Bombyx mori: one gene and its partners. The protein of the gene in region 2 purifies or fractionates together with the protein of the main gene of each other region. This does not show direct contact. Links are inferred from orthologs where the notes say so. Each region holds a gene or a part of one and is shown on either strand. Other genes may lie near its edges. The genes, in order: molybdopterin synthase catalytic subunit, ZZ-type zinc finger-containing protein 3, transcriptional adapter 2A and DNA polymerase epsilon subunit 3.

Region 1 (8,621 bases), on a different chromosome or scaffold from region 2:
AGTAAAATTATTTTTTTCTTTTTGGTTTTCATCTTTCGTAAATGTCGTCTCACAATCTACAAATTCACTATCAGATTCGACAGTGCTGCAATCATTTTTAAAATTCTCAGATTCAGTTAGAGTTTTGTCTTCCAGCATATCATTGAACGACATATCCATATACTCAACCGTTTTATTTAGATTTTGATTATGTGTTTCAGTTACATTTTTCAACTGACTCTCAGTTGTTTTAGTTAAAAACAATTTGTGTACGGGAATCTTTTCTTGACTGAACAATATTGTTGTTTCGTCTTTCCATAGTAATTCTTTTTCAAGGTCTTCATTAAATGTGACACTTTCTTTGTATGGACTGTTCCTGTTGGATATATTTAAATCTTTATTTCTATGAGCTACGATAGGAGTGGACGCAGAGGCTGTCTTGTCAGTTGTCTCTTCAGTTTTAGGTGTTGAACATTCTTCTAGTCTAGGTGAAATTTGATTTGATCCCACATCATTATCTCCAGGGGGTATAGGGCTTTGTGAAGAACGAAAAATATTAAGTACGCTCTTGAGACCTCTCATTATTGGAGATTCATTTTCATTTTTTTCGGGTTCTTTTGTTGGTGTTGTTGCATCAGGACTGTGTAATGCTGAAGATGATGAACTTGCTAGTGATATGTTTTCATCATCGTTTGTTTTACTAACAGTTACAGTGATATCATGAGTATCACCCGTCAACTCAACACTATCCAACTGTTGTAAAATTGTTATTCGATCTACTTGGTCAGTGGGAAGTGACTGGAGAGGCAATGTTTTAAGAGATTTTACCACATTTTCATTCTTTGATATATTAGAATTTAAAGATCGAGTCAAATTATTTTCATTGCTGGAATAATTTAGTGAATCATCATTATCAAGGCTTCTATTGCTAGTATAGTTAGTAAAGCTCCTCGACATAGGTGATGCGGCTGGGGTTATAGAATACCTCAATTTCATGTTGAGTTCTGACACATCCAACTCCTCATATCCTTTCTCTGTACATGGTAACACATTATTGTGATATGTATTCTCTTTATTATCAAAATCACTCTCTAAGCTGTCTATATCCATCGGTTCATCGCGATTTGCCATTTTTTATATATCACTAAACACACAACGGTTGATTGTAGCGTTTTTAAGACTCTGCTCTGCTCGACACGTCACGATCTGAAGACACAAGTAAATATTCAATCCAACACTAACATCAAATATTTTTCAAATAATTTCACTGATTTCTATTTCGTAAAATAAACGGTTCGGTAAGTATGTCATTAGAAAACAAAAATGTCCGAGCACTGAACTGAAACTCGCATTCGTATTCTATTTTTATCCTTTTTGTGTTGTACGTTGTACGTAGTCCATTTTATATAAGAAGCGCACCCAGAGGGAATCTTGCCAAAAAATAACGATCAGTATACATAGAAGCAGCACACAAACATACCGGATTGAAAACCGTTTGAATTCGGTAACTTTTTCAATTTGAACTGTCAATTGTCAGATTATGGTAGTGCAGTTAGTATCGATAGTGACGTAAAATTAAATCGAGTTGCGAAGGTGTTTAAGCATTATCTATGGTCAAGTGGAAGAAAAAGAATGTCAAACGGCAGGAGACATGATCACCGAAAGAATTCAAATCTAAACTCATAGGATTAACCTTAATGTATAATAAGAGAGTGTCAACCTATAGAGCCATCGCTACAACATTTCGACACTGTCATTTTAAAATACGAAATGTCGTATTTCCGCTACTTGTTAAAAAATAAACATATTATCGTTTATGCGTAAACTTTTGTTGCTGTTTTTCAAAATTTCACTTCTAGGAATATTTTCTTTGAGAGTTAAAAAGTAGGGGTTGAAAGTGTAATTTCTCTCATTTGAAAGAGAACTGTCAATATTGAAGCTTTTACATAAAGCTTAGTAAAAATAATACACGTGATGTAATTACAATATATTACCTATGGCCATTACTGTAAACAATAATGTACTTTCTTTTACTTGTATTATGATGTACTTTCAGCAATAATTAGTTTATACATTATATGATTATATTTATTCATTATTACATAATTCACAATATCATTATTCATCCCGTGCAAAGACGGATCACTACTATTGAACATATGATGATTATTAATTGGATTATAAGATATTTTATAAATAGGCCTGAGACATGAAAATACAACATAAACATGATTTAATATGATGGAGAGATAGTAGTTAATAACAGACATATTTATAATTTAAGTTTAAATTTTAAGTATTTTATCAACAACTCTCGCTTGGAAAGAGGGTTTTTTTGAACCCCTAAAAAGAGATCCTAAAAGAATATCTATATTTTTAAAATACTATAAATGTAAAATTGAGTTTTGTTATTGACTCTTAATTTTCATGTTAAATTTTCGCATGCACCTTATCACGGGTAATTTTTCTTAGTACAATGGGAGCGAAGTAGATATGCTATAAAAATTTAATTACAAGGTGTGGTCCTGTCTTCTAAAGCGATCTCTTTCATTCAACCGTTGTATGGATAAGATTCAAGAAAGAAAAGTGTAAATCTACTATGACTAGAACACAAGAATGAAATTGGATATGCCATTGTAATATTTTTCCAATTAGGTATTTCTGCAACTAATATACTAAACTAATATGGTCTTTTCAACTATCTAGGTCCTAGATTCTAGGAGATGGAAATGGAGCAAAATCACTGGACTTGGCTGGTTGGCCTATTACGAAAACTGATATCATTCAAACTTTAAACTATTACCTTTTTTATACCTTAAAAAAGGTAATAGTATGGCTTGGTAATGACACCTTTACGCTTCTCGTGCAAAAGAATTTACTTTAATTTAATTCACGAAGCCCGCTATAGAAAGCAGAGTATTATATACACTTGACATTGGCGAAATCTAAAAGGAAACGCCATAAACCTAAGAGATAGATAGATAAAAGAATTTACTTTTTGAAACAAAGCCTATGAAATACTATTCCTTTGCCTGTTTTTTGGGATCAAACAAAAAGTTATTAATTCATAAACTATAACAGCTGTCTCTTGTTTTGCTTTTGAGTTTTAAAATTTGAATTTTAACTTAATTATAACACCTAATAGTTAGTAAGAATTTTAAAGAAGTGAAATTTCTAATCTAAGTTTGAGGAAAAAAAACCCTTACATTACTACCATTTAAGACAGAAGATACAGTAAGTATATTTAAAATTACTTTAATAAATAAAATGTTACGATTTTCAAGGTTACGGTATAACCTCCTAGTTATAAAAATCACACAGTTTAAATTAAATGATCGCTGTAATGACATTTGTACCAACGACGTACTTGAAAATATCTAATAATATTATACTGTGTAAAGTATAGGTATCTATTGTATGAAAGTAGGTGTATGTAATTAGATCGTGAAATTCCGACACGGTCCAATGATCAGCAACATGTTTAAAGCAGTCGCCCATAAAATAAAAACTATATCCACGACATTCATGTAGGTAAGTCGAGTGAATCAGTCAGTAAGTAAATGAAACGCCGCGGTGATGCAGTCAGTAGATATATAATTTTTTAAAATACTTTTGATGTACATGGAAAGTGTATAACGGAAATTAAAAACCTTTTTATTATCCTACAACAAGTACAACATATTTAGTCTTTTATGGATCAATTCGAAATAAAGTAAGAATTTAATTTTTTAAATATTTTTCTTTAGATTTTGCAGCACCATTTTGTACTTTCTAGTTTTTTTTTTCAATTCAAATTACATGTATGTATTTTAATCATTATTGTTTACTATTTACACAGATTTAGAAGCAGTATTGACAGTAGCTATATTGATTATTTTGTTGTAATGTTTTTTATTTATTTTTACTTAAGCAACTTTTTTTTACAAACAGGTTTATAATAACACATCTTTTTATTGCAGGCTGGTAGATTGACTATGGTAAATTATGGAAATAGAAAATATAGAAGATACTGTAACAGTGAAGCTATTGTTTTTTGCTAAATCAAAAGAATTGTCGGGAGTTAGAGAAACTTCCATAACTTTACCAAGAAAGTTGGGATATCAGAGATTGTTGAATATTATATGCGATAAATATAACTTAAACAGTATTAAGAAAAATATACTTTTGGCTAAGAACGAGGTAGTGTGTGAGGATACAGTAGATATAGAAATTAATGAACAAGACAACTTAGCTGTTATACCACCATTGAGTGGAGGTTAAATAGTATTTCACAGGATGGACCATATAAAATTAACAGTAGATAGACTGTCAGTCGAAGAAATAAGTGAACTTGTAACTGATGATAGCTGCGGTGCAATTTCATTGTTTATTGGCACAACTAGAGACAATTTTGAAGGAAAAAAGGTAAACTTGTATTATTTAAAATTTTCTAGTCATTAGGAAAATAGGTATTTTGTTAAGATTCTGTATGTGAAGCCCGTTGTTCAAAACGGTAATGGCTTTTAACCATTTTAGTGTTAAGTGATATTTCATGTCACTATAGGCAGCAAATTCTTCGTGATCTACAGGATATGGCACCCGGTGCATTCACATCAAGCGACGCAATTTTCTTAATGAAATAGGTTAACAAATGTTCACAAATTATTTCTATAATAAAGGAATAACATTACTTGTTATAAAAATTGAACCCGCAATAATTATAATTTTTGTGTAATTATTGGTGATAGGGCATCATATCTGAGCCCACGCGGGTAAGTACCACCATCCTGCCTATATTTTCCGCGAAGCCGTAATGAGTTTCCGTTTAAAGGGTGGGGAAATTGTTGCAATGAAAAAACTGAGGCTTAGACAAAAAGAGTTTGAAGAGCAACCTAGCCCAAATACATAACCAACTTAATTTCTCGCTGGATTGGATTTCTCTTACTAGGACTATTGTTAGCAAATTCTCTCAGGATGAACCCCATGAGCTTACCAACCCGTCCGTGCGTAGCTGAAGATATAAATAAAGAAAATATGGCCATAACTCTTTGTCTATTTGCATCTTCTAAATTTACAATTTCCAACACAGATATAGTTGTTTACGTTCCATAGATAAGAAATGATTTATTTTATATTATAGTTTGACCTCTTTGAACACTTTTTGTAAACAACAACCAAGTCAGATAAATGTGGTGAAGTAAAAAATATTCATGTAAATGCAGTAAATAACAAGAGATTGTTTAGTCATACCGATGTTAGCAATGATTATATTTCAAAAATTTAAACTCATTTTTATACCTTTGTTTTCAAGTTAAGTCTGTTCATACGGTATGCTGCGGGCCACTTTGAACTAGAAGGTTGTTTCTTCCTAGTTTCGAGATAAAAAAAATATATTTTCGTAACGAGCTCACGGCCCACCTGTTGTTCAGTGGTTACTGGAGTCCATATACATACATCTACATCTCAATTGTTTAGTAATTACGCACGTTACTATTATATCGGATTTTTATTACACGATGTGGAAGTCATTCGTGAACGTGTACTAAGTACGTATTTCATTAGAAATAAACCTTATCGTGACCGCCTAAAATTACATATCCGACCCAGGCCACGAGGCAAATCAAAGGTACCGTCGTCTAAAGAACATCCGACGACATTTATTGAAGTCGTCGTGGCCTAAAGGATAAGACGTCCGGTGCATTCGTATATAGCGATTGCACCGGTGTTCGAACCCCGCAGGCGGGTACCAATTTTTCTAATGAAATACGTACTCAACAAATGTTCACGATTGACTTCCACGGTGAAGGAATAACATCGTGTAATAAAAACGTAACGTGTACAATAAAAGTTTTAACATGTGGTAGGACCTCTTGAGAGTCCGCGCGGGTAGGTACCACCACCCTGCTTATTTCTGCCGTGAAGCAGTAATGCGTTTCGGTTTGAAGGGTGGGGTAGTCGTTGGAACTATACAGAGACCTTAGAACTGATATCTCAAGGTGGGTGGCGCATTTACGTTGTAGATGTCTATGGGCTCCAGTAATCACTTAACAGCAGGTGGGCTGTGAGCTCGTCCATCCATCTAAGCAATAAATAAAAAATACTATCGAATCCTCTCGATCGACTCTCCGGGCTTTTAGGCATTCCAGGCACTGGTTACCGCTCTCGTCGAACACGTCAAATACGACAGAGTTCCACGTACAACCTATCCACTGAGTTTATCGCCGGATCTTCTCACTACGTCTCAGTGGCTCGCGATTCCGATCCGATGGTAGATTCAGCAAAGCACTGATCATGTTGGGGCCAGGGTTAGTAATTCTCTCAGGTTGAGGGAGCTCATCTACCAAACCGCGCGTAGTCAAAATAACAGCTTGAGGGGGTACCAACGATCCTATTGGAAAAAAAATAATAGAAATAAGTGATTACTGGTGGTAGGACCTGTAAAGTCCGCACGGGTAGGTACCACCGCCCTGCCTGTTTCTGCCGTGAAGCAGTAATGCGTTTCGGTTTGAAGGGTGGGGCAGCCGTTGTAACTATACTGAGACTATACAACTTCATGTCTCAAGGTGGGTGACGCATTTACGTTGTAGATGTCTATGGGCTCCAGTAATCACTTGACACCGGGTGGGCTGTGGGCTCGTCTATCCATCTAAGCAATAAAAAAAACCATAACTATCGGATAAGAACACCGACAAATTCACATCGCAAAATACGAATGTCGAGCTAATAAAAGCGTATTATAAAAAAACGAATTTTATCGACTTCTATAACAGCTGCTGTATATTTGCAATTATAAATAACAGTTGAATTGACAAATCAATATTTGTTCATTCCAATGCAAATTTAACGTAACGAGGAAGTAAAAGAAACAAATAATTTACCTTGAAAATGAATTTTACGTGAAAACGATTATTGTTTTAATTATTTCACTTAATACCTAAATGTCTTCACGGCACGACCTGGTGATAAGTAAATTCCATATTTTTTTTCTACCTATTCTAGTAACGTCGAGGGGTTATTCTAGATTCTTCAAGAGATTTGTACCACCGCCTTCTAAAGACATGAGATCGAATTAATTAAAGCTACTTTTTTTATTTTTATTTCGTGACAGTAATGAAAATAAAACACGTGCGATTACTTTTAATTATGTATATAAATCGCAAAACCGAAGAAAACACGATAAGATCGAATGTGTTGTTTAACGGGTCTACCAACTTTCGGAATGCATGACAACTTCTCCGCGGCGGATCTATGTGAGGTATTGGTACCTACCCGCACGGGCTCGCAAAACGCCATTTTTTTCGAGCAGGGGGGCAAACCTACGAGGTATCAGCGCTTAGGGGGCACGTGGGGTATGCGGGAGTTGACGGTCTGCAGATGTTGGGAGCAGACCACGGACCCAAGGATCACCATGCCACAATTAATTACGTAAATCGACAAACGTATTAGAACCTTTTTCGTGTTTCTATTAAATGTTTCATGTAAAATTTACTCAGTTTTCATAAAAAAACGTTACTAGCATATAACTAGTCAGGTCATAAGTATTGTCACACAGTAAAAACTTTTCTTTTAGAATGCTGGCCACAAAAAAGTTTATTGAATTCGAATTTCGAATTGTTCATGAAAATAAAAATGTATACTTTTAGAATTTTACTCATTTTTAAATATGGAGTGGACGCTTAAAGAAGACCGTGTTGCAGTTATTGCGTTGCATCGTTGCGGTTACGCGCCAATTCAAATTTTTAACATACTGAAAAATTTGAATATAACCAAAAGATTCGTTTATCATACCATCAAACGATACAATGAAGACTCTAGTGTAGATGACAGGTCAAGAAGTGGTCGCCCTTGGTCTGTTAGTACTCAAGCAGTGATAAAAGCTGTGAAGGCGCGAATTCAAAGAAATCCCAAACGTAGGCAGAAACTGTTGGCCCTTGAGATGGGGTTAAGCAGAACCACGGTAAAAATGGTATTACATGAAGACTTAGGGCTTCGGGCATATCGAAGAAAAACAGGACATCGTTTGAATGCTCGTCTAATGGACCTGAGACTGAAGAGATGCCGCGCTTTGTTGAAGCGGTACGCGGGAAAAAAATATCGGGAAATTCTTTTTTCGGATGAAAAAATTTTTACCGTAGAAGAGAGCTACAACAAACAAAATGATAAGGTGCACGCACACAGTAGTGAAGAAGCGAGCAACCGTATTCCGCGTGTCCAACGAGGTCATTTTCCATCCTCGCTCAATGGTATGGTTGGGAGTTTCTTATTGGGGCTTAACAGAGGTACATTTTTGTGAGAAAGGTGTAAAAACGAATGCAGTTGTGTATCAAAATACAGTCCTGACGAACCTTGTGGAACCTGTTTCTCATACCATGTCCAATAACAGGCACTGGGTATTCCAACAAGATTCGGCGCCAGCTCATAGAGCGAAGAGCACACAAGACTGGCTGGCGGCGCGTGAAATCGACTTCATCCGGCACGAAGACTGGCCCTCCTCCAGTCCAGATTTGAATCCGTTAGATTACAAGACATGGCAACACTTGGAGGAAAAGGCGTGCTCAAAGCCTCATCCCAATTTGGAGTCACTCAAGACATCCTTGATTAAGGCAGCCGCCGATATTGACATGGACCTCGTTCGTGCTGCGATAGACGACTGGCCGCGCAGA
Region 2 (7,560 bases):
AATATCTTCCCTTGGCGGGATTGGAACCCGCGACCCCCTTATGTAGTGACCATGTCACTTACCACTACACCCGATGGCCGTTAGACAGACGAGTTCGTTGATGAACTAATGTATTTTTTTTTATTGCTTAGATGGGTGGACGAGCTCACAGTCCACCTGGTGTTAAGTGGTTACTGGAACCCATAGACATCTACAAATGTAAATGCGCCACCTACCTTGAGATATAAGTTCAAGGTTCTCAATATAGTTACAACGGCTTCCCTTCAAACCGAAACGCATTACTGCTTCACGGCAGAAATAGGCAGGGTGGTGGTACCTACCCGTGCGGACTTACAAGAGGTCCTACCACCAGTAATGGTGGTCCACCACGAGTAGCTAATGTAAATGTGAACGCCGTCGCTCCTCTTGAGAGAATATGAGATCGAAGTTTTAACTCCACTGGAATCGATATTTCACTGCAGAAATAAGCAAAGCGGTAATAGTTCTACGCCCTACTGCCATTGTAACTAAGAACTGTAAGTATCAAATAATTTAACTTTCATACTCAACCAGCTAGGATTTTCTTCTTCGAGTACCAGACACAAAATAGAAAAACTGCAACTAATAATACACACCCAGTATAGTATGAAGTAATACCTATATATTATGTTCCACCCCATATTCAACTATTTTAATTGAAACATGTCTATCGTAGTTAGTACTTTTATAAATAATCAGATACAAGAAAAGGCTCAAATACAAGAAATAGCTCGTTTGGCTTCATCAAAATTTTAAGGAGCCGTAAACGTTTGAAATACTATACTATTATATATTATGTTATCTACCTACGAGACAATAATTATGTACACATTCTACCCTCTTATCGCGGGCGCGTCTGATATATCTGACCCAGGCGACGGGGTAACGCAAAGCAGTCATCGCCCAAAACATGTCTCATCTGAGATCTCAAGAACTCAACTGAGTTCCAGATTCGGATCTTCTTAGTGGATTGCGATTCTGTTCCGATCGTAGATACAGGGAAGCGGTGTTCTTGCTAGAGCTAAGGCTAACAAATGCTCTCAGGTTTAGCGCGTGAGCTTACCTACCCGTCCGCGCGTAGTTGGAATAGCCTCGTAAGCTATCAACGACTAGGTAGAGAAAAAGACGAATACATCCTGATCGTTAAAATCTACAACAATAATATAGACACCTCTAATTCAAACTCCATACGACTCATAGTGGCTTAGATCACTGACGAGCAGCAGCGAGGCGAATTAAAATATTTAAATTTAAAGCCGTTTACGTTCCAGTGGCCATTTAATTTATTTACGTTTTCATTTCTCCGAATTAATTCAATAATTACCGCAGCTGCTGAGTCTAAAAGCTTTAAATTTGCGGTCCCGGCGTGGCCCGCTCTAACCTGATTATAGGCTGGTATATAATTGCCCGGGAGAGCTCTGTACAGATTCTAACTCTAAATCAATTAGCCAGCAACAATACATGCTAAACATGTTAATTGATGATTTAGTAAGCGTTTGCTGTATGAATTGTTTATTCTCTAGACTCTGTAAAGAAACATTGAATCATAACATTCTTGCAACAATAAATCTTGCCAGATTGTGCCAGTTTTTTTACCGCACGTACTCTAGCTTAAACGGTTTAATGGATCTTAACAATTATAAGGTATCGTGAGGATTTGCTAAGAAAGGCAACGGTCAAGTTTCAGGGACACGACCTTCAGCAATGAAGAAAGCGACGAAGAAGAAGAAGAAGGATTTGCTAAGTCGCTAAAAAAGCAGCATATTAATGTGATTTTTTCGTGGATGTGTTAACAAGTTCACGGCTTGTCACGCTTAGATAGATAGTCACCGAAGCAGATAGACATCAAAACTTGAATATAATGATTCATCTTGAGAGATAATAAGGCCAAACTCTCAATTGTACAGCTATAATGGCTGTCCTATCATTTAAGCCTGACCAAACAAAAAAGATTGTGGTTGCTATCACTCCGGGCTCACAATACGCCCTGAACTTAACAAATTCAACAGTTTCGTTTTTATTACACGATGTTATTCTTTTGTTGCAGTAATTGTTCGTAAGCACGTGCAGGTGGGGGGACGGAAACACTCTCTAACTCGCAAGGCAAGGCAAGACTTACAATTAGACTAACAATCTTTGCGCACTTTCATACCATCATCACCATCTCCATTGTCATCATGACATCATTTAACAAACTACATCAACATCACCACATCATCACATCTCATCATTTTACCAGCAGAATTCTCACCATTGCGGAGAAGGCAGGGACTTCAAGTCCGGGCAGAGGGGATTTCCCCGAGGCCCAAACCGTGCCCCCGGGAGGGGACACGAGGACCCAGAAGCAGAATAGTAAATATAATTTGAAATGCGCCAATGTGCACACAATCAATATGCGCTGTACATGCATACAGTGACCATTCGTACTGTTTTTGGTAGGACAGTACTGCTTTTTAGACGATGTCCTTCTTTTTTGTTGAGCATAAATGTCCTGGTTTTTACTTGTTTGTACTAGTTTGCACAGGTTTTCAATGAAAGTTAAATAATATTGAAATTAAAATTTTGAATGAATAATTATAGTATGGGGTCTTCTGCGTGAGTCTTGGTTCAGGTGATAAGGGCTTTGGGTCCGTTACCGGAATTACTGAGATTTTAGAACTTATATCTCGAGGTGGGTGGCGCATTTACGTTGTAGATGTCTATGGGCTCCAGTAACCACTTAACACCAGGTGGGCTGTGAGCTCGTCCATCCATCTAAGCAATAAAAAAAATAAAAAAATAACTATGTCCAATTTCACACACACCAATTGATTGTACAAATATTTATATAAATGATTAGAAGGTGAAGAGTAACAAACGAAAGGATAAGACGTCCGGTGCATTCGTGTTGAGCAATGCACCGATGTTCGAATCCCAGGCGGGTACCAATTTTTCTAATGAACTGCTCAACAAATGTTAACGATTGACTTTCACGGTGAAGGAATAACATCGTGTAACAAAAATCAACGGTAGAACGACGTCTAGTACATCCGTACGTAATCCGACGTCCGTACCGGTAGGTACCATCAACCCGCCTATTTCTGCCGTGAAGCACTAATGCGTTTCGGTTTGAAGGGTGGGCAGCCGTTGTACTGAATTGAGACCTTAGAACTCATGTCTCAAGGTGGTTGGTGGCATTTACGTTGTAGATGTCTATTGGCTCCGGTACCACTTAGCATCAGGTGGGCCGTGAGCTCGTCCACCCATCTAAAAAATAAAAAATAAATAAAAAAACAAACCCGCAAAATTATAATTTGCGTAATTACTGGTGGACGCTTTGTGAGTTCGCACGGGTAGGGTAGGTACCACCACCCTGCCTATTTCTGCCGTGAAACAGTAATGCGTTTCGATTTGAAGGGTGGGGCAGCCGTTCTACTGTAAAAACGGAGACCTTAGAAATCTGTCTCCACTTACCTTAGTGGTGGCATTTACGTTGTAGATGTCTGTGGCCTCCGGCAACCACTCAACATCAGGTAGGCCGTGTGCTCGGTCACCTACCAATGTAATAAAATAAAAAACGCCTTCATATATTATATGCTAGGTTGTTGTTTTTTTTTATTGCTCGTTATCCTGTTTTTATTTTACAAAAATAATGGTCACTATATTTATGCTAATATAGCGCCACTGCCAATAAAAACACATAGACATGATGATTTATAAAAAAATTGAGATATTTTGATCAGCTTTCACACAGTCTTAATAAAACACTATAAATGGCACGAAATTACCATTGTTTATTAACAACAAATAGCATTGAATGTTAGTCATCTGTTTGACTTTTACTGAAACTTGTGGGAAGCACGAGCATTGCCATCTGTGTTAAAATTTTAGAAACAAACTACTGGTTTTGTTGTGTGCATAAACACCTAGATGGCGCTTTGTTTTACTTGTTATTCTTGCGTTTCACTTGATCATAAAAAAATATAAATTTATCGTGTACACTCATTTTCCTTAAATAGGAACAATTGTTGGAAATAAATTCTTAGTTCGATGTAAAAATCTCATTGGTTTAGAATCTCACTTTCATTTTTTTCAGATATAGATTCTTTGACGTTTATGTGTTTAATCTATGAAACTGTCAGTAACATATTAAGTGTATAATCTATGTCAGTAACCAAGTAGCCTTTCGAAGAAGTTCTGCGTACATAAAGAATGTAATGTTTATTTATTTTAACGTCTACTTTATAGCAAACTGTTAAAGCCCTAGTGAATAGGTTGGTATTAAATATTTTTTACCTGTTATAAATAAAAGAAATAGACTGAACTCACCGGTCCGACCAGCCTTCAACTGAAGAGCTTCTGAATTCATGCTTACATTTTTTGTTATGAACACTGTTTATTTTATTTTTTATTTTTACACTCAAGTTTTTAGGATTTTTCGCTATTTTCATTCCGAAACTATTATTCATATTTTTATCAATTTAAAGGTCATGGACAGCTGTGATGAATATGAAAATGAAAGTGAGAAGTCAGAAGATGAATTTGCATTTGAATCAGACCATTTAGCCTTAAGAGGAAACAAAGACTACTGCAAGTTACTCAAATACATAGTTAAATTAGAAGCACAAAAGACACAAGCTCTAAAAGACATAGAAACTTTAGCTGAATCTCAGAATAAAGCCTTGGATGACCCTTTGACGTTTATTGATGATCTCAGATCCGGAAACATTCAATTTCCTGCTCATCAAACTATCTCTGATTTGCCCAATATAAACTGGAATGAGTATGGAATAGATGTTACAGACACAATAGGTGCTAGTGAGTCAAAACAATGTAAGGAAGAATTAGATTCTAGTTTCAAAGTTAGAGGGCGGAAGTTCACAGACAATAAACCAGAGACGTTCAATCAGTTATGGTCATGTGAAGAGCAAAAAAGATTAGAGGAATTGTTAGAAATTTATCCTGAAGAGCCTATTGAAGCGAGAAGGTATAAAAAAATAGCACAAGCCCTTGGCACAAGGACCCCAATACAAGTTATGAGCAGGATTCAAAAGTATTTCGCTAAGTTAGCGAAAGCAGGTCTGCCCATTCCAGGCAGAGCACCCAAAGGTGTTGGACGAGATAAAAACAAGTCTATATTTTATAAGAAATCTACATTTTTTCCTCAATTGCATGTTCCTGTAAATATGGAGGACTCTTGTGACAGTGGGGAAGGACACGACAATATGTCCTCTTTAGAAACTAAAAATGATGGTAAATACATGTTGGAACTATTGAAATTAGCTAAAGAACAGAGAGTTTTAGATGAAACCACACCAGTTTATCAAACTAAGACCATGTGTGTTGGTTGTCAAAAAATGGGTTTTTTAGGAGCAAGGTGGACAGACAATTCGGGTACTGACTATTGCACAGACTGCGTGGTGAGATTATTACCTGCTGAAAGACTTATTCCAGTGAGACATTTAACTTGATGCAATAAAATGCTCAGCTTATTTTTGTTTTTTTCAAATTGTCACCAACAAAGATAGTTTTTAAGTATCTTGAAAAACATAGAAGTAAATTTTAATCAACTTCTAAGTATCTTATCGATTTGAAACATTTCAAATCACTGTAATGTGGATCACAATACTAAAATATGGTCACAATATGTTGTGCTAATCTGATTTTTTTTTATGAAACTCATTGAGATTTGAAATTTTTCAATTAATTTTAATAATTACTCTTCGGCTTTTATTTATTGCAACATTACTGCACTTCAACCATTATTTAGTTTTTAAAACTAGATACCCGAAAGAGCTTAAAAGACGCAAATTTAGTAACACCACACATTCTGAATTTTTACTATTTTCAAGAATTTAAACGAATATTTAAAAACAACTGGATACGTATTTCAATAACTTAGGCTATACTGTCAATTACCGACTGGTTCTGGTGATAACGCAATACTGGGGCGTCCGCGGCGAGTGATGAACATCCACTGGACTGGAACACTGAGCACGCCTCGCACCCGCTTCTATCTACCCTCTATACACACTACATTATCTACTGCTTGGCGGGAGTTTTGTGTTCTACACATAAATAATTAACACAATATATCACACCCTCATTCAACACGCCCTATGATTTGACCTACAACTTCATTCTTATTCTTAGAGATCAGCAAAGTGCACCTCATTTTGATTGATGTGTTAATAAAACGTGCAGAACTTCACCAACTAAAATTATTTTAACATCGCGTGCTTCTTTTTAATTTTGGATTAAGCTCACGGTAGCCTAGTGTTATTGCAGTCCAAAAATAGTGAGATACATATTGAAGTGATATCCGCCGCACCCTGGTTAGGTGAAACAAGTCCCTAAAGTATTGCAAAACTTGTACGATTCCAAAACAATCGTACCCATATTATTTATGTAATACTTATAAGTATAATACGCCCTGCAATATGCAAAAACAGGGATTGTGTAGAAAGGGAAAAGGTATTTGAGGACAAATATTTTAGGAGTTAAAAAAAGGGATTGTATCCGTATATCACTAATTGCCGGATATTATACTATTAATAACCTACATTAGCGCGTTTCTATGTTGATTTATAGGATTTGTTATAATTTTATGGGAAGTATATCATTACTTATTATAATTCAAAGCGAGCAATTGTGTAAGCCGGCAGTCTCGAAAACAAACTAGTTGAAAGTGCAATGCAAATTGCAATTATAATTTTAGCTCAAGTTTTGTATAGAAAATCCTTTTTCTCCTACAGTTCAGTTTACAGTTTTTTGTAACGTTTGTGTAGGAATATAGGTATGTCTGCAGCGATTATTTCCCGCTAAATCGGTATGTAGATAAGCGTGGTGTGAATAGCAGCTTTCTACATTAAGCTACATAAACTCACCAATGTCCACTTTTGTTTTGATACACTGAAAATAACAAGAACGCATTATTTTACCTACCTAAATATTACTTTTTTTTTTTTTTACATTATTTATTATCCATTATTATTCATTAATAATATTATATATTCATTAAATAAAGAAAACAAAATTTAATGGGAGATACGGTTCTAAGATTCGACACACTTGAAATATATACATCATTTATTCACACCTGAAAACATAAATTCACGAACAAAAATTTGCTTTGTATTTTACTATGAAGATGAAAGAACCATGACAAATGACCAAACTATTCTTTTGTACTATCTTCACACTGGAGACTAAGTGGTTAGACCTATTCATGCTTGGACGTATCCTCGGTAGATTTATTAATTAAAATGATATATTACGTATTTCCTATGAACTTGCTATATGTACATATTTACGTACCATAAATACAGTAAGCATTGTTTACATAGAGGTGCGATAATGTTTTTATTCTGAGCGTTGAAATTATATCCGCAGTTGTTTATATTGATAGATCTATTTGTTCCGTGGTTCATCCGTCTCTCAGATTACGATGATTGGACGCGGTGGAGCGCAATGGGGCAGCGATCGCAGGCCTGTTAATTAAGAACAAGGCAATACAGATCGTTACAAAAGATCTTGTTTACTCGTACCCTTTTTTGAAGTTTG
Region 3 (7,722 bases), on a different chromosome or scaffold from region 2:
TGCTGTATTACACGTCGCGATATCTTCATCTTCTTGACACAACCACGGGCGATATCTTCTAATGATACGTATAAATCGTGTTCGATGGGGGGGTCCTGCGTCTTCTCCTTCCTACTAGGTGAACCATGGAAATTAAAGCTGTGACTGCGGAAAGCACCACCGGGGCCACCTGGTCGCGCCTGCCCCATGCTTATGTTACTGAAAGGATCCATATCCACATCCATGTCGCGGTCGAAGAACGTTGTAGTTCCACCTCCATTCAGATCGAAGAATTCCTGGAACGGGCTGGCCGAACCAAAGAACTGCGCGAACGTTGCTTTCGGGTCGCCGTGGAACGTGTAGGAAAATGATTGACCGCCACCAGGACCATTCTGCCCGCCCATACCACCCTTTAGGCCTTCTTCGCCGTGCGCATCATAAATTTCTCTTTTCTTCTTGTCCGATAAAACCTCATAAGCTTCTGCCACTTCTTTAAACCTTTCCTCTGCGCCCGCAGCCTTGTTCTTGTCCGGGTGGTACTTTAATGCCAATTTTCTGTAGGCTTTCTTGATGTCATCGTCCGAAGCACCTTTTGTTATTCCCAATATTTTATAGTAGTCTTTGCCCATTTTGATTTGTACTGAAACAAAAAAAAAAGATCAGTCTCGACGTTTGACACCTTTTTTGGAAGCACGATTTCGTCGATCATTTTCGTTTCATAAATTTGATAGACCACATTTTATAACAAAACCACGGTTTTTAAATGAAAAAAATCAACATAGCATTTTCAGAACACTTACTTGTATTAGAGAAACTTTAATCCTTGATAATTTAAGCACAATTTACGAAATTTTAGCAAATAATCACAACGCAAAACTCAACACTTCACTTCAGCAATATCACAATTGAATGAAACGCGGCGCTCTCGTCGAACCAAAATATATACATCAAAACATCTAGAACATTCTAGGACCTTCACCCGTGACGTGAGCGAGATGCAATAAAAAGAAAGCAATATGAACTAGCTAATGTTAAAAAGAGACAAATATAAATTTCTATGTTCATCGGCTAATGGGCACGTCATTTTCTCGAATCTCGACCCGATTATAAATGTCAGTATGTTCTCGTTGTTTCTTTTTTATTTTACCATGTTCTCTGTTACGACTTAATAAATAAAAAATGCAATATTTAATTGTTCATGTTTTCAAAATATTATCTATTTAATGATTATTCTGAAAAGGGGATTATTTATTTTAAAGCGATACTAGTGTTTATTATATCTTTTAGATTGTTTTTTTTATTAGATCTACTGTTAACAAATTCAAAAATTAAGGAAGCTTATCAAAGAAGAACATCATCTATCATAGCGGGTTAATCAAATGATACATTTTGGATTTAGTTACCCAGTTTTCCTAAGTAAACTAAAACACTGTGTTTTATTCGTTGCTGGTAAAGTATGGAGGTTAGAGGTAAGCAGAACCAGCTGTAAGCATCACCCGCTGTTTGCCTTTACCGTCCATACTTTTCGAGAAATGGTTTTCTGTGTATGAAAAAGTGATCGTCGAAAGGCGACCAATTAGGGTAGCGCCATCGTAGGCAGTGGTGTAATTTTAAAGATAGCCCAGAAAGTTTTTCAACTAAGCATACTTCACTCCCTTACAATTTCTACATCATCCATTTGCTACACTAGCCCTGTTTTAATGAGTTTTCTGAATTGCAATTTGCTGCTTACAGCCGGATGCTTCTTCAACTTGTCTCTCATTTTAAGATAGTTCTCCTTACCTATAAGTACACACCTAAGAGTTAAGTATGAAGTCGTAACAGATATTTAGCAGTGATACATAGTAAACGTTGACAAAGACATAAGTACAGATATATGAAAAAGTAGGAATGATCCTTCTTCTCGAAAAAGAGAAAATCGACTGCCCATAAATATATTTTTTCGATATTCGCTTTTTTTTTATTTTCCGTGTAATGTCACCAGCACCGACTTTAAAATACTTTTTTAATATCGATGCTTTGATGTCAAATGGAATGGATCGGATTGAAATGAATTTGTTTATTAACTGATATTGTCATCAATTTGCGTTGTTTCAATAGATTTTTTGGAAGAACCCGAGACGTCACGTTCAGCAACTTTATTTCATTTTCCAATAATAATGGATTTTCACACATGATATGATGATAACCTGTTTGCAAATGCATTTTGATTTGCTAATGTCCTAGATGGATTGGCTATTATAATGATAAAAAGATCGATTTAAACAGAAATCAATCCCTGATCACCATCCCTACTCACCGAGATATGTAGTTATTTTGAATAAAGTTATGTATGTATGACAGGGCAAGAACAAAAAAGGTAAGATCTTTTTGGCGGAACCGCGAGGAGTGAAGTTGTGTGATTTGTTTGTTAGATTTAAATGTGTAATAACGTGGCTTATTAACTGTTTAGTATCTGTGAAAGTGCACAAATGTGGGAAAATGAAACAAAGGCACTGGACGTAACTTCTCGGGATCTTCCAAAAAGTCAATTGAAAAAGTCTTAGTAAATGACCACCATTTTACTGAGATTATATTTTATCCCATATTATCCAACCTCATTTCATTTCATGCCATGTTTCATTAATCAACTTCATTTAATTACACTTCATATTATCATTTTTCATATAAAATGAATTATAAAAGATTAGGCTGTATGGTATGATACCATTGACTTTTCAGTTGAAAAAATAAAACTACTACTATTATGTAGGAACCGTACTTACTTAAATATTGTATTTTCTAAACGTTTGCTGAAATAGTAATCCCTAACATTACATAGTTTAACCGGTTTTACTAAATAGAAAAAAATCACTATCTTCTATTGTAAACCAATAAACAACTGATCTGTGCGTGAAGTTCTATCGAAATGTAGGTGTTTAGTTCTTTTGTTTTTGAATTTTTGAAGTTTGTTCAATAGGTAAGTGATAGTTAGACTATTAGGTTTTGTTTGTAAATAAAATAAAGGTTTTTAAAGTACTACTTTATTTATCTGACAAGTCGAAGAAAGAGCGCGTGCCGGCATCCCTTGTATTCGATGTCGTAGTACTTCTCATAAAAGTCTTGTATAAGTTCTTCAACCTGAAATAATGTCCAGAGATATACTACAAACGAACTGCGATTTGTGTTCAGAAGTCGCACACGAGCCTTTTATCGAATGTTGCGAGTGCGAAAGCAATGTTTGCACTCCTTGTTTTTCATCCGGCAAGGAAACAGAAATGCATAAAAATGACCACAAATACGCGATAAGAAGAAATGATTTTCCATTATTCGGTAATTGCAATTGGTCTGCTAAAGAAGAGTGCAAATTGTTATCAGCACTTTCTACATACGGATTCGGAAATTGGGAAGAAATATCTAAGAATGTGCACACACGTTCTAAACTCGAATGTCAAGAGCATTATAGGAAATATTACATAGAGAATGTGCAGTATAAAGAATTGAGATTACTAAAGGAAACACAACAGTCACTTTTTCCAATGCCAATTACTCCATACTTGTACAATACAGATGTAAGCACTAATCCGCCTAGAAATAACAGTTCAGATCAACATTTAGCTGGTTACAATACATATAGATCTGAATTTGAATTCAGTTATGATCACAATGCTGAAAGCATATTTAATATTGAAGACAGTTACTCTGAAGATGATGATGAGGATGAGGATGAAATGGACATGATGGATTCTTTAAAGGTGTCTTTAGTGAATGCTCTTAATACAAGATTAAGAGAAAGACATAGAAGGTATAAAATTATACAGAATCATGGCTTAGTAATGCCAAATAAGCTTTTCTCATGGATCCAAAAGTTTGACCTCACTATAACACGACAGAAAGCAGAACGATTGCTTTGCTTCATGCAGTTCATGACAGGAATACAGTTTGACGCTTTCATGGAATCCATGAGCTTAGAGAACGAGCTGTTACAGAGAATTGGACATTTATGTGAATACCGTAAGAATGGTATAAAAACTCTTTATACTGCCAAACTTTATAAGCAACTTAAAAAAGAAAATGACATAATCATGAAAGAACAAAAGTATGCTACATGTGTTATGGCCAAGAAATTTGAAAATCAATCACCAGTGAAGACTATGTACACAAAAAACCACCAAGTGCTGCGTTACAAGCGTATGGCAATGCCCTTAGAAATAATTGACTTGCCAGGTTTCCACAGGCTGAGTGAGGCTGAACAAGTACTATGTTCTAATTTGAGGCTTGTACCAACAAACTACTTGGAAATAAAAGAGCATCTTATAGCTCAGAACAGTAAGCTTGGATTCCTACGACTTTTAGATGCAAGGAAAATTGTTAAAATAGATGTAAATAAGACTAGGAAAATTTATGATTATTTGTTATATGAAGGTTTTATAAGTAAACCATTGTGACTATGACAAATTGGTATCATTTAACACCACATATGCTATGCTGAATTGCAGATACACACACTTGTCAACTATTTATCAATCGAAAATTATTATGCAACAAAGTATTGTTAGCCTGTGTGTATTTCTACCACTAATGTGCCTATTTTAGTCTTAAAGTATTCATACTTTCAATATAACTTGAACAGTGTGAGAGCAGTGACATTACAATACTTTGGGATAGGTGAGTTGGGTGTGAGCTCAGAAGCCCAACTGCAGAAATGAAATATTCATAGTTCACGTTGTCTGTTTGTCTGTTCTTTGTGCACAAAATGTTACTTTTGGATTCATTATCAACAAATAATGTGGTAGTGTAAAATGCGATGAAAATAGTTAGATACATAGATACATTGGTAATATGAGGTATGAGGTCAAAATTTTAGTAGCTTTGAAATAGTAGACTAATCTATGCATCAGCATGTTTCTGGCGTGAAGCAGTTTTGTAAAACTCCAGATAAGTTTACATAATAATTACAATACATTGAGTGATATTCATAATGTATCATAATATGCTGATAATACATTGTACCATAATACCAGAGAAATAGGGTTTTCATGATACTCACTTTGAAGCCAAATTTTTGATATAAAAATATAGCTGGATTTGTTGGTGACACATGCAGTGTGATATCTTGGCCCGTGCAAGTCTGTAAGTAAAAAAGGTAATTGTCTACAACACTTAAGCCTGAACCTTATATTAGCAAATAATTTAAGGTAAACATACAATGCAGTTGATACTTTGACCCATAGAGTAAGATTATATATAACCTAACTTTGACCTGAAGTCACCAGTATTCAATGCAGGGTGAACCTTCTTTATTTAAAAAAAATGAACAGTTTTGTGTCCGTTGCCATGCAACCCATATCATGATCCGTTTTACTGATTGAATTAATATTATATTAATACGTTGACCGCCATGTAGGGCACTGATGCCCTACGCGGCGCACTGAGGTAATTATGTCGATCTCTATTACTAAGCGCTGGGATTGCTTAATTTTGCCTTCTTTTGTGTTTAATATAATATGTTTTAGTATTTTAGGTCTCCAGAAATATATTCATTCTCAGTATCTTCGAATTCTTTCCCAGCGACTACGAGATGTTTCAGCGCCTTAGTAAGAAGATAGAAAAGAGAGAAATCGACATAATTACTTGAGTGCGCCACGTAGGGCACCGGTGACCTACATGGCAGTCAACGTATTAAGATCTGGCGATATGTTCTTACTTCGTATGTTCTTCACTGGAGATACAACTTTCTTTTTTAAAGAAAGTTTCTCCACTACGGAGACTGGATTATGTGGTAACCAGATCCATCTTCCTGAAATATCGCAATAAATGTCCGCCTTACTGTTCCTCATGGGCGAGTATACCTGAAGTAGATGGTACAGCATGAATGTAGCTATGCCGGCCCTGCCCCACTCCGGCCTGGTGAGCACGAAGGAGATGTACGCGGTGGAATGTCCCGCGTCCGGCACCAGGAAGGCACAGCCCACGACCAGGCGTCCGTACGTCACTACGCAGCTGAACTCTGGGTACTGCAGGGCCTCAGTTACTGGCGGACATCACAAACATATCTAAGCAAAATTATAATTTCCCTTATTACTTGTGGTAGGAACTCTTGTGAGTCCGCGCGGGTAGTTACCACTACCCTGCTTATAGCTGCCGTTAAGCAGTAATGCGTTTCGGTTGGAAGGGCGGGGGTTCTAACTATATTGAGACCTTAGAACTTATATCTCAAGGTAGGTTGCGGCATTTACGTTGCAGATGTCTATAAAAAGCGTGATCAGACACGGTACCGCGATGTTTTTAGTTTTTGAACCTTGTATGTTTATGTATACGAGTGTTCACAATTGTTAGCCTGATGTAAACCAACTAGCTGTACCCATCCGCTTCGCTGGGCATTTAAAATTAACATCATTATTTCTCACCCCCACAAACATTCTCATCATTGACGCCCCCGCAACTGGTGTAGGGAGTCCAACACTCATATAAATATTAGCCTATCCATTAAGTACATGTATTTTCTACATGGATACCAAGTTTCAAGTCAATCGGATGCATGGTTCAGTAGTTATAACGGAACATCCGTAAAAACCACTGTAGATTTATATATTATCAAATCAAATCAAATCAAAAAAGTTTTATTCAACATAAATGAAAGTGCATACTTGTTGAACGTCAAAACTACCGCCAATTCACGAGAATTAGCCTCCGTCCTGAGAAGAATTGGCAAGAAACTCAGCGGGCATGTCTTTTTTTTTTTGTTTTTTTAAATATTAGATTATTATTTTTGAATATTAGATTTTTTTAAATATTCATTTTTACAAAAAGGAATTATAACATAACAATTTTACAATATTGAAATGCCCGGAGCGAGCAACTCATTCCCACTTTGTGCAATCTTCTAGATTATCATTGACTTTATAGTAAGCTTTATTGCACAGATGTTCTTTAATAGTTTTCTTATTAGTATAGATATCCTCACTGTGAATAGGTTACCAAGCTGTGAGAATACAGATCGTTGTGACATAATAGATCCAGTCGAAATGTTTTGGTATTTTATTACACTTACAGTCTATCCCGGGCCAGAAGAATTGGGCACATAAATTATTGACTGCAGCGATGTGCTGCGGACGGACGTAGGAGTAGTCAATGGACATGCGTGCGGGTGGCTCGTAGTCTTTTATGTGCCTGGAAATAAATTAACTTTAATAACGTTACAACTTCGGTAGGGTTGAGTAACTTAGCTTTACCATTAGCTGCTTGCGTCACATGTGGCGGTAGCCAACATAAAATACAAAATGTCGTTTTCAAGAGACGTTTGCAATATATGTGTACAAGTTTCGAACAATGAGATTCGGGCCGTGGAAGATCCTGCCTTTGTCATATCCCTACATCACATACATGGAAGTGACTCACCAAGTCAACACAAGATTTGACTTGTGACTGAACGTTTTCTTTATATAAAATTATTTCTCATGCTCTCTAAACTCAAAGACTAACAATAGTGATCGGAAACACGGCTCATGAGATGGTAAGTGGACATTATCGGTCACCTCGTCGTAGGACGTTGACGTCTCTATTTCATTTAAAACTACTGCTGAAAATTTTCAATAATAAGACAATAAGATATTATTAAGTATTTACAATATGGCGACTGCTCTATTAGATATAAAAATCAAAATTTAAATCCCAATTAATTTGATTTCGAAACAATTAGGTCTAAGATTGAAACTAATCAATCACCTGTGAGTTTTCCTCAGCAGCTCGTCCATTAGCTTC
Region 4 (7,703 bases), on a different chromosome or scaffold from region 2:
CGTGGTTGCCATTGGATACGAGTAAGTAACAAATAAAATATTCTTTCCCTTTGGATGTTGTTTGAACAATTCAATTGCTCATTCAAAATCCATCTGCCTTGACATTTCCGTGAGTGACTTAAATAAATCAGCATACGTATTTTTGTAAGCTAAAATATGATTGACTAGCTTTTGCCTGCGACTTCGTCCGCGTGGAATAGTTCACAAATAATGGTTTATTTTAGAACAAATTTGGTTAGCATAAAAAACGTTATAGTGAGCCAACCTTAACATATAGACATATGCTGTCGCGGACTTTTTTTATATCTTTTAAAGGGGAACAATTATGTCATACATTATTTTAGCGAAACTTTAACCGTTTCTGCAGCACACGCAGCGGAAGCTCTCAAAAGGGAAAAAACCCCGATTTTGAAACATTCTTTATTGGTGCTCCGCTTGTATTGGTCTTAGCGTGATGTTATATAGCCTATTCTCGATATACTCGACTCTTCAGCTTTATAATATTTATATGATTGATTCGATAATGCTATGAAATTTTCTGACGAAGCGGTCTTGCGATGTAATAATGACATGCCGTCTTTAAAGGCTACATGAGGAGACTATTAAGGCCATTCCTGTCACGAAGCAGTCTTCCACTCCGGCTTAAGATTGGAAGTGATGGACGTAGGTAATCGTGACAATGGCCATCCGTGTTAAAACAAGTAGCGACGTTAAAGGATCGCGTAAACACTTATCAGGTCAGCCGTGAGGTTTTAGAACCTCTTTTGAGTCCGCACGGGTAGGTACCACCACCCCGCCTATTTCTGCCGTGAAGCAGTAATGCGTTTCGGTTTGAAGGGTCGGGCTGCCTTTGTAATTACACTGAGACCTTAGAACTTATATCTCAAGGTGGGTGGCGGCATTTACGTTGTAGATGTCTATGGGCTCCGGTAACCACTTAACACCAGGTGAGCTGTGGCCTCGGGTATCAATCTAGGCAATAAAAAATAAATAAATAGAAAGGTCGGTCTCAACTGAATTCAGAAGTATTCTAAAAGGGATGTGACGCCGCATCAACATTGTCATCGATCCCCCATAATAATAAATCCCAGTATTCCACCAGGTTCTGTACTCCCTCTGAACTATGCATCCGACAGGTCGTGACAATCAAATTTCAATCAAATCTTTCCTACAGTGTACTTCGAAACTCTTGAATTATCTAATATTCTAGAATTACCCCGGACCTTACCATCCTTGAAACAATCCTAAGTATTTTAAGCAACTGAGCAACCCGAAGGTAATATTACCGATGTTCACAGGCAGCGATGAACACTTTTAATCAGTTGGGCTATATGCTCGATGTTGAATTAGATAACAAAAAAAAAAAAAAAACGTGTATTTTTTTCTAATTCACGTAATTTATTTCATAGCACGTTATTTACGATCGTCAAATTGCAAACATACGTTATACAATTATTATAAAATATTAATACTCTTAATAAAATATCCTTACCGCATTACGATTCCAAATCGAAAAACCACAACAACACCGCATTCGGATAACATGAGAATTAATATCGAAAAACTCTAAAACCAACGAGATCGTGTCGACGAAGAAACCACTGTAATAATGTTATTTAGGTATGTTTTTTGAATAAAACATTACAATAACACCATAAACTCAGAAAAGTATTAAGTACTCTGTGCTAGAAATCGATGAGAATGCAGACAGAATACGTCTAACAACGAACAAAATCGGTGCCGCACTAACTTATCATAATAATATAACTTGAATAGTGTCAGGATAGGGACGCTTAGCGTTATAAAATAACGCGTTATATTTTATTAATAAGACTACATTAAGACGCTTGGAATAGTAACACAGTATCGCAGTATATTATGTGCATAGCGGTATTGACCGAAAAACAAAGTTAGACAAAATCAGTGCACATGTCGTAGAATTGTTGTAAAAACCTTTTTCACATTTTTTGAGACACAGGTACTAGGAAATGAAAAAGCTATCTGTTTAGCATAAAGTTTCAAATTAACAGTCACCGAATCTCTATAAAACTTATTAGTAACAAAAAACATAATAGCTTAAAAAAATAGAGAATATAACACGCTATCGCGTTTTTGTTCATTTGGACATCACTATTGTCAAAACAACACTGGCATCAACATTGCACCACGAGTTTGCGCAATACCTCCAAGCGTACCTAACTCAATAAAAATGTATTTATAAATTTTATTTCAATTTTATTACGTACTTAGTAAATTCAACAATTGACCTTCCCTTTTATATGTATTCACGTCATTCATTTTTAATTTTTCATCGATTTCTGTAAAACTAGGTCATTGACCTGTTTAGTTGATTCAGTTGTCAATTTCTATCTAAAAAGTAGATACCTATTATGTTTTAAAAACGAACTAACACGGACAACGTGTCCTTTGATACGCTAATATACGCTTTCATGGTAGTCAATGTATGCCTAGTAAATCTATGGTAAGCCTACTGATATATTTTATTATATTTTCTAAATAATGTTTTTAAGCACACTGGTCACTCGTAAATCAGCTGTTTACGGGTAACATGATAACGAACGCGAAGCTTTTGTGAACTGAAGGCCATGTTATTTTTTAAAGATGAAATTTTTATTGCTGTTCCTCCCTTCAAACCGGAATGCAATAATGCTTTGTGGCAGAAATGAGCAAGTAATTTCGTTCGTTTCTCATTATATCGACATCGTGCAAATCAAATAATTCTACAAACAACACGAGTGTTCGAACCATTGCTTTTTATTTTTATCAACAATCAACAAGGTTTCAAGCGAATTAAATGGCTGATTAAAATAACAGATTATCAGATTATAATAATTTAACCAAAAAATAATAGCGAAAATAAACTTTTACATACTTTTGAGTAATTTATTTTTTGACCGTGAATTATTTTGGATAATGGTGACTGCTAAATATTTTGAGTTAATTAGACGATAAAGTCGATTTCCCACCAAAGCATACAGTTTAAGTTTATCTCATATTGTCTTGATCTTTGCTGCACTACAAGCCCTCTTCTGGTCTGCATTCGTTAAATGGACATTATGCGTCATCATCAATGCGTGCTTTCTTGCCACCAGTGAATTAAAATTATCACGCAATCCTATATTTTTGTAATATTTTTGGAAAACAGATCGCAATGTTTTTATAGCATGTAACGTGAATAAGATTTGAGGTTTTAATTTTGAAGAATAATAGAAACGTTGAATAAACAACAAATAAACACGTGATAACGCTAAATACTAATTGTGAATTCGGTAGGCTACTACACTGCAGGATCTAACTGCTGGTATTGTCCCATCGTTTTATGTAACTTCACCGGGTATCTCATACAGCATAATAATATAGTTTAAGCCACGATACCTATGAAAACTTTGAAAAAAAGGCATTGTATTCCGAGTACCTATTTTTGAGACTTTTTGTAGCACGGCGACAGGCGGCAGTTACTAACCCTTGTATCCATAGATAATACACATAGAGAGTACTATCGTAACATTCGTAACTGTGTATAATCTATAACTGTGACTGTATGCTCCAATCAATGTCAAGAAATGTCATTAGTGCTTCTGGCGGTTAAATTAATGTTTTCATTTAATTCCAGATTTTATAAATAGGAACGTTATAAACAAAAATGGCTGAAAAACTCGAAGATTTGAATTTACCACTCACAGTTGTAACTAGAATCGTAAAAGAAGCTCTTCCCAGTGGCGTATCGATATCAAAAGAGGCGCGAACTGGCCTCGCTAAGGCGGCTTCAGTTTTTGTACTTTATGTGACTTCAGCAGCTACAAATATTGTTAAGAACAAAAAAAGGAAGGCTCTCACTGGGCAGGACGTGATAGATGCTATGAAAGACATCGAATTTGATAGATTTGTGGAACCTTTAGGAGAAGCTCTGGAACATTACAAGACCATGGCTTCGGCACGAAAATCCGCTTCTATGAAGAAAAAAGATGAACAAGAAGACGCTGAGATTATAGAAGACGATTGAATACTACTGCGACTTGAGTTTAAAATGTATAGTGGCGCTTAGTGGTGTATATTCAGAAACTGTGCTGAAAAACTATATGAAATAAGTTCAAAGAACCCATGCCTGTGTTACAAAAGTGATAAATGTTTAAATGAAACAAGTTTCCCATGAACATTTACAACAGTTACCTCGCAATAATTAATCAGTTGGTAATAATGTATGAAGTGTTTTAAAATTAAATAAACTTTTATTAAAAACAAGTAAACTTCAAAAGCATCCCAAAATGAATTGTGTCCACTTACTTTTACATCAGTAAATTAACTACAATTAAAACTTAGAACTTCTCAAAATTTGTTTTTGCAATTTGCTAAAATTAAAAGTATTTTATTTGATTTATTACTGATATTTTTCTAAACTTAATTTTTACTGCCATAAAAATTACTTAATGTTAGGTTATGTATGTATGTATGTTATGTAAATGTTACAATTATTACTAGATCTGGTCACACATCCTTTTAAAACTTGTAATTATAAGAAAATTTTGTTAGAATCTGGCTTTTCTATTATTTTTCAGTATTCTAGAATAGTCTCAAGAGAAATTAAAATAATGGTTATGTTTGTGTGAAAACCTCCAATTATTTTCATTCAATATATCATACAATATTCAATGCCCTGCTTATCTATGGTGGTAGTTCTCGAAACTTGGTAGTTTGTTTTGGCTTTTGTCAAGAGTGGGACATGACAACCAATTTGAATTAAATGATACGAAATATGAATCAAATGAGTCGACTATTATCAAAGCCGGCAATGTGACTTTTGGACAATTATTGGTAAATCAGAAAAACGAATTATTGACTTTGTATTCTGTTGGCAGTCACAAAACTCTTCTGAACGACATCTTAGATAAATAACAGGTTAAGTATTAACCTTTATTTAATGCAGGTTTTGAACCGTATTCTTTGAAGGAGACGATTATATTCAAATCAATCTGTATTGACATATCAATAACATTTTTTTGTCCAAATGCACAGATTGCCACCTTTGATAATAGACGACTCAAATACAATATAACATCATAGGATAAGATTCAAAATAAGTGTTTATAGGAAGTCTCAAAGTAGTTCCACTGACAAAGTAAAAAATGGAAGAATTATGGTATGGGCATGTTATGTGAATGACGATAATCATTTGACCAAAAATAATCTAGGTGTGATAGTGACAGTGTTTTAAATAACTTCGATGGACTGAGTAAAATAGGATATGTTGGACAAGATTAGAGATGTGAATGTAGGGAGTGAATATGTAAAATAAGAGTCGGCAGTGACTCCAGATAATATGGGATAAGGGCAAGAAGAAGAAGCAATATAACATTGTAGTTATTTAATTCTGATACGGCATAATAGACAATTCTGTCTGTTTTCCAGCAAAGGATTCATGCTCCACAAAGAACATTAATCCATTAATTTGCATGTTTTTTTTTCCCCCCTACCTTTGATGACAGCTTTGAGAGGCTATATCAGCTCTACCCTAGTGTGTAGGTGAGCTCACGGGGCTCAAACCTGATGTTGCTAGCATGAACCCTAGCAAAAGCCGTGCTTCGCAGAATCTACCACCGGATCGGAAACGCAACCCACGAAGATCAGGCGAGAAACTCGGTGGGCTGTGTCTGTGGGTTAATTTACTCGCCAAGCCCTTCGTCGTAAGCGACGGGTTCGACGAGAACGATGACCGGTGCTTGGGGTACCTAAAAGCTCCGTTAGTGGATCGGGAGGATCTGAGATGACGGTTTTGGGCGGCGACGTCGACTGTTTACTGTTCGGTCTGCAGGATCGGCTATGTAGTTACCGGCGGCCACAATGAGAGGGTTCTCGTGTCGTGCCGCTTTATCGAGATGGGGCATTGACGCTGACTGCAAACACTTAAGTACTGATGGACTAGGTCCAGGTCGTCATGAAAGTCGAATCCATTACTATTGACTAACAACACAATTGAAACTTCAGGTTCACGTTTCAAGGCTGGTGTCTCATCAGTTAACCCATTAACGGCACTCATCCAAGGAGGAGCAATAAATGTATTCAATCATATAGTAAATACTAGAAAAAACCTGATATCTTCATCTTATGATAATTCCATATATCTTATAGTTAAGTTTATCTGAATCTGCGGATACTACTTCACTTATTACTTGTATTGTCCGCTTAAAAAACCTTTCCGAAATGAAGAATCCCACAAGTCGATGCGTTAAAATAAAATATAATAAAAAATTTAATAAAAGAAATAACCTACGTCTTAAAAGTAGTTGTACCTAATTTACCGAAAAAATAACAAATAAGAAACAAAGTAATTTTGTTACCTTTTTTTATTATGGAATAAAATATATCTGGAAACAAATTGTGTTCTCAAACCTCACGGCCAGGTTTGTGTCTACCTCTACCTATATATTTACAATTTGATAACTCTCAATTATAACGAAAATATATTCTAATTTTATATTAATATAAACTAAATACATATATTTTTCCTCTTGAATTTATTATCATCATTTTTTTTTAATTATCGAAGACTTAAAAACTATTCATAATATATTGAGATGAAAAACTTTAAGAAAAATTTAGCAACAAAACTAGTTTAGTAAAATTTAAATCGATTTTAACCCTTAAATGCGTCGGTATTAAATTATTTTAATTTATTCTCTGTCTTAAAAAATGTTTATCTTCTTTTTCTTATAGTGCCAGATGTCCTTAGTGGTTGAGATGGGCACATTATTATTGATAGTAGGTGTGAACACGCAGATAATAGAGTAGATAATGTTTTACAGGTTCCCTCGACGTAGGGTATCCGCTTGGTCCAAAGATGAGTGGCGGTATTTACGTTTGATCAGCTATTAATGGCTAATGTAACTTATTACCTACCATCCGAGGTAATAAATTTGGTTTGCAGTCTTGTAACTGCCGCCTATCTGCAGACTAATTCTTGTTGGAAAATGGTAATAACAACTCTGGTATTCGCAAATAAATCAATTGATTTCGTTTAATGTGGAAAATAGATGATTATGTATACTGTTGCGTTATAGACAGATATTAAAGTAACAGATTCAAAAGCAATCAAAATCAAAGTTTTGAAATTTGTTAAAATAACAATAACCAAGCGTATTTAAGGGTTACGATATAATTTAAAAGTACAAGTTCTAAGAAATGAAGCATGACTTTAAATCAGACTCTAACAGTAGTTATAGTAATAAATTTGCTAAGCAGAATAAGACAAAAATTTAGAAAATATCTAGTAGACAGTAATAACATAGAAAATTATTAGCAGAACTGTATAGTAATTTCTTTTCCAAGGTCTAAAACTGTAATCCAATACTTTATTAAAGGATAGGTACTTCTTGAACGAATATTCTGAGATCTATACAAGTAACGCGACCAATGAAGGCAACCGATTAAGGACCCGTAAAATTTTACTAGGACGTCAAAAAAATGCAAGTCGCACTCTTTATCACTCGCAAAAAAATAAAAAAGCCTCATAGACGTTCCAAAGCAGTGTCATACGTTATGTGCAAATTCATATTTAACGGCTTGCAAAGGTTTAGCCTACAGTCATCGAGTGGTAATATATCGATGCATACAGTACGTAGAGTACATCTCAATAAACACTATACACAAAACGCAACGGTCCATAGGTTTATTCACGTTCCCGCTAA

The links.
Region 1: the proteins of ZZ-type zinc finger-containing protein 3 (region 2) and molybdopterin synthase catalytic subunit purify together in Drosophila melanogaster (affinity purification with mass spectrometry; 4 studies listed by BioGRID, with this or other methods). This does not show direct contact. The link is inferred for Bombyx mori from reciprocal best matches to the Drosophila melanogaster genes Atac1 and Mocs2B.
Region 3: the proteins of ZZ-type zinc finger-containing protein 3 (region 2) and transcriptional adapter 2A purify together in Drosophila melanogaster (affinity purification with mass spectrometry; 4 studies listed by BioGRID, with this or other methods). This does not show direct contact. The link is inferred for Bombyx mori from reciprocal best matches to the Drosophila melanogaster genes Atac1 and Ada2a.
Region 4: the proteins of ZZ-type zinc finger-containing protein 3 (region 2) and DNA polymerase epsilon subunit 3 purify together in Drosophila melanogaster (affinity purification with mass spectrometry; 3 studies listed by BioGRID). This does not show direct contact. The link is inferred for Bombyx mori from reciprocal best matches to the Drosophila melanogaster genes Atac1 and Chrac-14.

The regions. Positions count from the first base shown.
Region 1 is NC_085131.1:1,994,184-2,002,804, reverse strand, and holds the start of molybdopterin synthase catalytic subunit, read left to right. Parts: upstream 1-2,944; 5' UTR 2,945-3,213; intron 3,214-3,284; exon of another isoform or gene 3,285-3,691; intron 3,692-3,938; 5' UTR 3,939-4,254; coding exon 4,255-4,383; intron 4,384-8,621. Other genes in the region: putative leucine-rich repeat-containing protein DDB_G0290503, read right to left, coding at 1-1,110. UniProt on the Drosophila melanogaster protein: Catalytic subunit of the molybdopterin synthase complex, a complex that catalyzes the conversion of precursor Z into molybdopterin.
Region 2 is NC_085121.1:4,877,041-4,884,600, forward strand, and holds ZZ-type zinc finger-containing protein 3, read left to right. Parts: upstream 1-4,487; coding exon 4,488-5,468; 3' UTR 5,469-5,489; downstream 5,490-7,560.
Region 3 is NC_085111.1:1,074,293-1,082,014, forward strand, and holds transcriptional adapter 2A, read left to right. Parts: upstream 1-3,099; 5' UTR 3,100-3,107; coding exon 3,108-4,406; 3' UTR 4,407-4,416; downstream 4,417-7,722. Other genes in the region: DnaJ-5 (dnaJ (Hsp40) homolog 5), read right to left, coding at 1-608; cysteine-rich protein 2-binding protein, read right to left, coding at 3,007-3,099, 5,009-5,089, 5,811-5,992, 7,013-7,131, 7,687-7,722. UniProt on the Drosophila melanogaster protein: Component of the histone acetyltransferase (HAT) complex ATAC; predominantly involved in acetylation of histone H4, including at Lys-6 (H4K5ac) and Lys-13 (H4K12ac).
Region 4 is NC_085130.1:7,453,274-7,460,976, reverse strand, and holds DNA polymerase epsilon subunit 3, read left to right. Parts: upstream 1-3,539; 5' UTR 3,540-3,664; coding exon 3,665-4,024; 3' UTR 4,025-4,553; downstream 4,554-7,703. UniProt on the Drosophila melanogaster protein: Accessory component of the DNA polymerase epsilon complex. Participates in DNA repair and in chromosomal DNA replication. Histone-like protein which promotes nucleosome sliding of ATP-dependent nucleosome remodeling complexes.